Saccharomyces cerevisiae S288C: one gene and its partner. The gene in region 2 interacts genetically with the main gene of each other region. Each region holds a gene or a part of one and is shown on either strand. Other genes may lie near its edges. The genes, in order: ALR1 and MRS2.

What was found.
Region 1: of MRS2 (region 2) and ALR1, extra expression of one rescues a mutant of the other (dosage rescue), as found in Saccharomyces cerevisiae (one study listed by BioGRID).

Annotation. Positions count from the first base shown.
Region 1 is NC_001147.6:72,295-77,675, reverse strand, and holds ALR1 (Mg(2+) transporter ALR1), read right to left. Parts: upstream 3,277-5,381; coding exon 697-3,276; downstream 1-696. Other genes in the region: VPS68 (Vps68p), read right to left, coding at 1-116; YOL131W (uncharacterized protein), read right to left, coding at 4,319-4,645; GAS4 (1,3-beta-glucanosyltransferase), read right to left, coding at 4,961-5,381. UniProt on the Saccharomyces cerevisiae protein: Plasma membrane magnesium transporter.
Region 2 is NC_001147.6:942,916-946,829, reverse strand, and holds MRS2 (Mrs2p), read right to left. Parts: upstream 2,235-3,914; coding exon 822-2,234; downstream 1-821. Other genes in the region: ALA1 (alanine--tRNA ligase), read left to right, coding at 1-597; VMA4 (H(+)-transporting V1 sector ATPase subunit E), read right to left, coding at 2,473-3,174; DNA-directed DNA polymerase gamma MIP1, read left to right, coding at 3,445-3,914. UniProt on the Saccharomyces cerevisiae protein: High-conductance magnesium-selective channel that mediates the influx of magnesium into the mitochondrial matrix.

The DNA of each region.
Region 1 (5,381 bases), 870 kb from region 2:
CAAAAGCCTAGAGCATAGAGAGCACCTGAAAGATAGACCCCACCTTTTCTTATACCACGAAAGGTGGGAATCTTGAAGGGGAAGCGAAATAAGCTAACATGATCATCTGCCTCCATGATGATGTGATTTTCTAATTGATCTTGTAGTTGGGGATAAAGAGTTCTGACCTTTAACTATATGCCCTATACTTGCCTTCTTTATGAAAGGGGCGCTGCACATTATTATTTCTGATTTAGTGAATAAGGTAGGGTAACAAATTCCAGAAGAGAATCGCAGTTCATTTTTACGAAAATGGTCATTAACAAAAGGTCAATAGTAGTATATATCAAGGTGAATGATCTTTAAATGAGGTTTTACTAATTTTCCTAGTTAAATATATATATTTCACTATCGAATGATTGACCGGATTGTACTATTTCTAAATAGGAAACGCCAAACTCAATAAACGAAAAAACATACAAAAAATGGGGTAAAAGATAATACTATTATCTTTGCCCAAGAGTGAAGAGTTAGAATACAGGTCCACTTGTTCTGGGTCTAACGTTCTTAAGCATGACATGGTCATGGAATGATTTTGGAAACTGCTGCCAAGGTCACGGCTAGATCACTAAAATTTAAGTGTAAAAAATGTGAAACGCCAAAATCGTAGATGCACGCCTCTGTGACTTAAATCTTCTATCTTTATCACATCACTAATCAGTCGTAGCGGCTATATCTACTAGGAAGACTTGCAACTGATTTGTTTGAAGGACCGGCTCTTACATTTATATTTTTGGAACGATCATTGAATCTCTTGTTTCTTTTTGGCAAGAAGCTCGAAATAACCGATTTGGCTCCACTTTCAGCGGCCTCGTTAAGTGTTGCAGGAGGGTCTATTCTTTTAATCCAATAGCTGGCCAAGAACCAACCAAGGACGGCCAGCAAAAGCAGCACACCCAATATCCCAAACCACCACGCGATACTGGAATTCTCCCCCGGAACTTTAACATTCATACCGAAAAGACCAGTGATAACATTTAATGGAACTAGCATTGTACCTATCATGGTGACTTTACCCAACATTTCTGTCACTTTATTATTAGAATTAAATGATTCCACTTGCAGTTGAGCTAAGTAGTTTGTATGGGATCTAGAAAAAATTTTTTCGTACGCCAGCAAATTTTGAAACATTGTCAACAAATGATCTTGAATATCACCCAAGTATAGGGCGATATCCCCCCTCGGTTGTGATGTGGTGGGCGCATAATTATTTGGTACAGTTGTCGAACTATTATTTTTGATATGACTGGCGTTATCCTGCCTTGCCTGTAAGTTAGCAATATTTATTTGAGATGTTAGTGCCGGTCCAATACCATTAGCTTCATCTTGGCATCTTTTGGCAAACATTTTGATAACATCAGCCTTACCACTAAGAAGTCTCATCAACGTCATTGTCTTACGCCTACTTTCACCAATTCTTTGTAACATTGCTGCAAAATCCATGTCACGAGCCATGAACACAGAATCTTCGATTGCATCTGCTTCATATTCAATAGATTGAATTACAGGAGCGAAACTATCAGTAATGTCATCGATTAAAGCATAACATAACCAATCTGAATTGACATTGACATAGTCACGTAACTGTCTTACACGCCTTCTGACATTAGCACAATGAGATATTGGGCCAAAATGGAATGTTAAAACACCTGACCTACAGACAACAATGTAAACGTTAATAGGTTCCAGGAAATCCTCTGATTCTTTATCATTTTCAAAGGTATGGAAACAAACGAAGTAATACGATTTGAAAAGTTCCACCTTTTCACGTGTTTCTTGCATTCTGATATCTTCTGCAGTCAATGGATGGATACCAAACGCCTTTGCTATGCAACGCATTTCATCATCAGTTGGACAACTACAATCTAACCACCATGTTGGCTCACCTCCCCTGAATAATTCATAGAATGTTTGTCCCTCAGACACTAAGGAAGGGATATCACTAGCATGAACGGTTTCATCAGATTCGGAACAGAAAAAAGAAAATCTATTAGGAATTTGAAAGTCTGTACCCTGGTAAGAGCAATACGCCGGGTCATTGGATGGAATGTTTTCATTCTCTTCCCCTTCAACTTTATTTTTACCGAAAGATATACCAGGGTGTAAACTAGGCTTGATTTTCTCATGCTCGTCTTCCTTCTTTTCATGGATTTCTGTTTCATTGGTACTCTCGCTCTTTTCACCAGTCTGCGAAACTCTTGGTGTATATTTTAGGGCAGCTGATGATCCCGAAGTGGAAGTAGAGCTGGTAAACCCGATATCCTGAGAAACGTTACTGTACTTCTGTTCGTTGGGCACTTGCAGACTTGCCAAAAATTGACTCTTCTCCGCGTTTGCAAACTGAGCGTACTCTTCCAGTTCATCGAAATCTATACCGTTAACTCTGGTATGCAATTGTGGTGGCATAGGGAAACAAACATCTTCTTCCGTCTCTTGAGAATCTCTCGACGCCTGTGATACGTCACTATCAAAAGAAGCTCTAGTATTCATACGTACTGGTTTTCTTTCCAATGTATCATCATCTGCATCCGATTTTTGGGATGTGCTTTTCGTCAGTAAAACTGCGGGATTGATAGATGAATGCGCAGATGTGGTAGAATATGTCCTCTTCTTGGGTTTAGCCAGCTTGGAGTGTGTATCAGATTTCGATTCGTGTGGGATCTCAAGAACAGGACTGACCAGCGAAGATTTTCTAACCTTCGTAATAGGACTTGCCGAGGAAGATGCGCTCAGCTTGGATTTGTTACCTGATGATGCAGTAGAAGATGACATAGTATAGTCTCTCTTTACACCTACATCCTTTGGTGGTGTGTGTATATTACTTTCCACATAAAGCTGCCTTTGATGTGGCATGGAGTGGGCTAGTCTGGAAGGCCTCGCGTTAGAAGTTAAAATGGCAGATGCCCTCAATTGATGATGAGCAACCGTTTCATCCATACCCTGCCCTTCATCTTCAAAATCCATGCGGCCCCTACTGGGTACGCTTCCCACATCCACATGGCTGTTGTATCTCGTTGCACTCTTCTGCTCCTTAGGAATAGAAGGTTTAGTGGACTTAGCAATTTCCTTGTTCTTCAATGTTGGAGGTTGGTGACGGACCGGCAGTGAGTCAGGGTGCTGCCTATGGTCGTACAATCCCGTATGGTCTTCTGTTTTCATGGAAACCATCGTGTTAGCCAGTGAGTTTGACCGCGATAAATTAGGCGATGACTCTGATGAACTTGAGGATGATGACATGGTAAAATGCTTTTACGCTTTCTAGCAATATTCGATGATCTTTGAGAAGAAGTAATGGTATCCTTTTGTTGAATTTATGTTCAACTAACAGTATACTTCCATGTAGAAATATTTTATATAATACCTGTCTCTTGTCAGGATGATATTTTTCTTGCTTATAGAAGGAAAAACTCAACTAATCAGGGCACTCTTTCTAATTTTGAGTCTATATTGAAGGATGGCCTTGCACACTACGTTTTCTACTGTTAAGTCAGTTTATCCAGAAAAAGAAAAGTGTTCATAGGATAGGAACGTACGTTATTATGCATAATTAGTTCGATGGACCATGTTCCAGAGAAAATTTTAATTTCAGATATCGTTTTTGTATCTCAAAGCGGACGGGCTGAGTAAAAACGTGCTTGCGATATTTGCAATTTTATGAGGAATAAAAAAGAAAAAAGGAGGGGTAGCATTTAGCATATTAAGGATCATTGAGTCCCATGTATTACGGCAATTAAATGAGTAGATGCTGCCAGAGTACTGAAATTTTTAGGCAATTTTTGGCTTTAGTTGTGTCTACCGCCAGTTGAATGGAGCTATAAAACAAGTCTAGGTGAACCTACGCTGACATTTTGAAATTAATCAATTAAAATCAGTTTTTGATACATGCGTTATGTAATCCTTAGCGTAGAAGACCCTACTTGTTTCCTATAGAGGAAAAGGTTGTATATTTTAGAGATTCGTCCATTCAAGGGGTTGCATATAGGGGGGACATACTATAACGGAAAATACTAGTTCAAAGCGTTGCCCTCGAAAAAGAGACGGAGGAGTACGTAGAACAATACATAAACACACAATATACCATCGGAGAACAACAAGTTGTTCCAAAAAAGCAGTCGTCCTAGAGTGAGGCTATCATAGCGTAGACGCCTAAATACTTAACACTCTCAAACAAAAGTTCATCTTACGCATTTCATAGCTTGGTCAAAGAGTTAATGAGATAAAATCTCAAAGATTAGTAGAAAAGTTAGGATCGGAACTATTTTGATTCGGTTCTAATTTCCTAGTATTGCGAATCTACCGTGTTCTCTTCATCCTCCCCCTGCGATGAGCTTGGTGGAACGGGAGGGGGTGAATCCAAACATTTAAAGCCTTGAATCAAGGGCACATGTTCTTCCTCCAGGTCAGGGCTAAATATTCTACACCTAGATCGCTCTAACTGTGATTGCGCGTCATTTATCTTTATCTCTGGAAATACCTTTGTTTCCATGCGAATCCGTTTGGCAACTTTACTGAGGTTGAACCTTAAGTTCCATACAGAATGTGCTAGTTCTGCTCTTTGCAAAACCTTATCTTGGACTTCGTCTTGTGCTATCTTATTAGTATTCATTCTCTGTCTATCTTATCTTCTACGACTACTACTGCCAGGTCTTTATCTAAATAAGAAGTGGCAAAAGGATACTTAAAAGCTCGGCGGCAAAAGTTTCTCGGCCACTAATTTACCCTAATGGACTCGTACTGTGCATATAAAACACATATCATACCGAGTAAAGAAGTCACCCCAAGAAGAACTTAACTGGAAATTCCTGCATAGCGTTATTTCAGAGAGTGTTATAGGCTCTGATTTTTATCACGTTTAGCAATAGCCATAGTCACTTTTTTAAATATGTATTTACTCTTTAAAAAGGGAGAACGACATTAAAGTCTAAAAAAATAAACTAAAAGTAAAAAAAAGCAAACACAACCCAAGAGGTAACAATGGGCCGGAAATAGAGGCAGAATTCCGGTGTTTTCGTTTTAAATCATCTTTGTCTTCATCTGCGTCTTCTTGTTCTTCTCCTTCCAGGTCTGCCAATGTCAGGCTTTGCCTAATTTCAATCTTTTTGGGCCCATTCCATCTGTCACCATGCTTGTCTAAAATCGTGACATTGGTGGACAGCTGATCCTCGTGAATATCTATGTATTTGCCTTTTTCAACTTTCACGCCTTTTTTTATCAAAGAACTTCCTAAATTTTTAGCAATTTTAGATTCAATCTTCAAATTTTCATAATCTTCCGCACATGATGGCGTCTCCTCCATCTGAACAGTTTCCTTTAAAGTCTTCATAGAAGGAAACTCAATGTTT
Region 2 (3,914 bases):
AGATTGGCTGAACAGTTTGCTGCTGATTTGGATGCTGCAGACAAGCTGCCGTTCTCTCCAATCAAAGAAAAGAAGTTGAAGGAACTTGGTGTCAAACTTGGTCAACTTTCAATTTCTGTTATCACAAAAAATGAACTGAAGCAGAAATTTAACAAAATTGAAAAAGCAGTGAAGGATGAAGTTAAGTCAAGGGCCAAAAAAGAAAACAAACAAACTCTTGATGAAGTGAAGACATTTTTCGAAACCAATGAGAATGCTCCATACCTAGTTAAATTCATTGATATTTCTCCAAATGCTAAAGCTATCACTGAAGCGATCAACTACATGAAATCCAATGATTCTGTCAAAGACAAGTCAATCTATTTATTGGCAGGTAATGACCCTGAAGGTCGTGTTGCTCACGGTTGTTACATCTCCAATGCTGCTTTAGCCAAGGGTATTGATGGTTCTGCGCTTGCCAAAAAGGTGTCCAGTATCATCGGCGGTAAGGCTGGTGGTAAAGGTAATGTTTTCCAAGGTATGGGTGATAAACCAGCCGCTATAAAGGATGCAGTTGATGATTTGGAAAGTTTGTTCAAGGAGAAGCTTTCCATTTAAGAAGTTAAAATAAAACGAAAAATAATGCATAGGAGTTCTTTTTGTTTATTTTGCTCTTAATAAAAAAGTGTCATTGTATAATTAGTCTTAGTTTAATTATTTATGTTTTTACAAGGACAAAAGATTTGCTGTTAAAAAGAGTTTTAAATACCCTTTTTTCTTACATATGTATATATACAGGTTTATGCTAATAATATTGTATAGTTTATCATGATAATCGCCTTTCAATTTTTCTTGTCTTCTATCAACCATTTCCAAATCATATCTCTGTTCTGCTTGTTCTTAATATCATTCTCCATGTTAAATTTCTTCACCTTTGAAAAACCTTTATTAATCTTATTATTCGACAGGTTAGCCTTATTAGTGTAGCTGCTGCCATAAAGTAGCACTCCCAACCGCTGCTTGGTTGATTTCCACCACTTCCGCCTTCGCTTTAGTTTATTTGTCAGGGCAATAGACGCTGATGTTTTAGGATACACACTGGAGTTTGCGGGTGAGTTTGGATACATGGTCATCTTTGTCACGGATCTTAAAGAATTAAAATTTTTCTTGGTGATATAAAGGGCAGAAACAATAGAAAATACCGCCACTGAAGTAAACCCCCATTCACTCTCCTCGATGAAATTCTTTAAATTCATACCATAGAATGCCGGCAGAACAGATGCTACTGTGAATCCCAACGTGTAGATGGTAACTTTCAACTCCAACAACATTAAGGAATTTCTATTTGCGTCCAATATGATGTTGACAATTTCTTCAGTAGATTTGATATCCTGAATCAAAGATTCTGATTGCTGAACGTATTCATCACATTGGGTGTAGTACGTCTCTATAAGCATTTCCAAGTCCGAAAAATTGTCCTTAGGAGACTTCTTAACTGTCAAGTACATGTTTGCTAAATCATCGTCGTTTTCTAATAGTTCATCTAATAGATCTCTAATCAATAAAGTTTTTTGGTAAAAAAGCGTAAGATCTTTGGACTTAATTAAAAGATGCCGCAGTTTAAGTCTATTGACCTCGTTTTCCAGATCATTTAAGATTTGAATACAGATTTGTGAGTGAAGCTTGAAATCTGTTTCCAGTGCGCTCATTACGTTGATGAAAATACTCTCGAGGGCTCTATGCTCGTAAAATTGAGAGTTATTCTTGGTGGAGGACAACTTAGACTCCAAGTCATACATAAGTACACTCAGTTTGGCAGCGGCGGAAGGGTTTGTTGTATCGAAGACGTAGACCTTATCTCGTTCGATAAGAGCTTTGATATGCAATAAGTTGATGACAATACAGTTTGGCTTACACATGATGGTTGGAATAATATCAATAGAGGAGTTATCTATTTTCCTCAGGTCTCTGGGGAAAAGGGAATGTTCAGTTAAAAAGGACCATTTAGGAAACTTCTCGGACATTGAGATAATATTTCCCTTAGAATTGAATACCGTACACGAAATGAACAGTGAATCAGAGGCAGAAATGGGCTTCAACGATAGTAACTGTTTCCGCAATATGGTGCTGTTGGTGTTTGCAGCAGTGGATGTGTCAGCATACTTTCTAAGAAATGGCGTGTTTGGTCTTCCAAAAGTTATTCTCGACAAAGGTTGGAAACAAGATATAGAACGTACCAGGAGACGCCGATTCATGAGATGCTTGATTGAAAATCACTTTCACTACGATTGCGTATACCGTTACTGTTAGCCTTGGTGCGATCTTGAGCCCTATTGTTCTATCATAATGCTGCAAAAAAAAAAAAAAAAAAAAAAAAGAAGAAAAAAAAAAAGAGACAAAAGACTGGACCACCACAGAGGAAAGAACAACATACAAAAAAAAATCTGTTAGGAGTGTATATGTAAGTATGTAGGTATACAAGCTGCTGGTCGATCAATCAAAGAACTTTCTTGTCTTGGAAGGACCATACAATTCCAATCTGATGGCGGGCAATGCCTCTTCACTTAACAATTTCAATCTTTCCTCCAAAGTGTTGTTAATTTCAATCTTGTCTGATGCATTGGAGACCACAACACCGCCGGAAACAAGGTCTTTGTTCAAGTAATCATTGGAGATAACAATCTCTTCCAATGGTGCGCGCTGGGCCTTTTCCCCATACTCACGCATAATGTCGTCCTTCATCGACTCGATTAAATCGACGTCTCTTTCAAGAGCCTTGACAATCGCCTTAGGTTCCAACAACTTCAAAAGTGCCTCCACGATCAATGATTGCAAAATGGGCTTGTACTCGTCCCGGTTGTTGGCAATTCCTGACAACTTTTCCTTGGTTTCCTCGAATATCCCGTCTAGCGACTGTTCACGAGCAGAAAGAACCTTCAACCTCATTTTGTTTGCTATCGTTGACTTAGTAATCTGTTGCGAAAGCATGGCCTTCTTCAACTTGCTCTTGAAGTTGCCGTCAATGTTGTTGGTTTCATTTCTTACGATGTTGGTCTTCTCGATTTCGTACTCTTGGTCAGCCTTCAATTGGATTTCCTTCGCTTTTTCTTCAGCTTCCTTTCTGATGAAAGCTTGCATCTTGTTCAATTCATCGTTCACTTGGTTTGGTGTCAAAGCAGTAATAGCGGAGGACATGCTGTATCGGATGGTGCGTGGCCTGTTCTGTGCCTCTTTTGTAAAACAGTTACAAACAACTTTTCTTGCAACTGCTATTGTTCTTTGCTGATATATAGCGTGAGTTCTTATCGAAATGGCCGCTTTCGCCCCTCTCCGTGGCGGGTGACCTCGGGCGCACTTTTAGCCGATACTCAGTAAACAACAATAGGTATGGACTACGAAAGAACGGTTCTAAAGAAGAGGTCGAGATGGGGATTATATGTAGTTGTTGAGCAACGAGGGACAAGTATGACGAAATTGATGGTTAGATCTGAATGCATGCTGCGAATGGTGCGGCGGCGGCCGCTGCGTGTGCAGTTTTGTGCTCGATGGTTCTCCACAAAGAAGAATACCGCAGAAGCACCCAGGATTAATCCTGTGGGGATACAGTATTTAGGTGAGTCTTTGCAAAGACAGGTATTTGGTAGTTGCGGTGGTAAAGATGAGGTGGAGCAAAGCGACAAACTTATGGAGTTATCGAAAAAGTCGCTAAAGGACCATGGGTTGTGGGGGAAGAAGACGCTCATCACGGATCCAATATCGTTTCCTCTGCCGCCACTACAAGGCAGGTCGCTAGATGAGCATTTCCAGAAGATTGGGCGTTTCAATTCTGAACCGTACAAGAGTTTTTGCGAGGACAAGTTCACGGAGATGGTGGCACGACCGGCGGAATGGCTGCGGAAGCCAGGCTGGGTTAAATACGTACCTGGAATGGCACC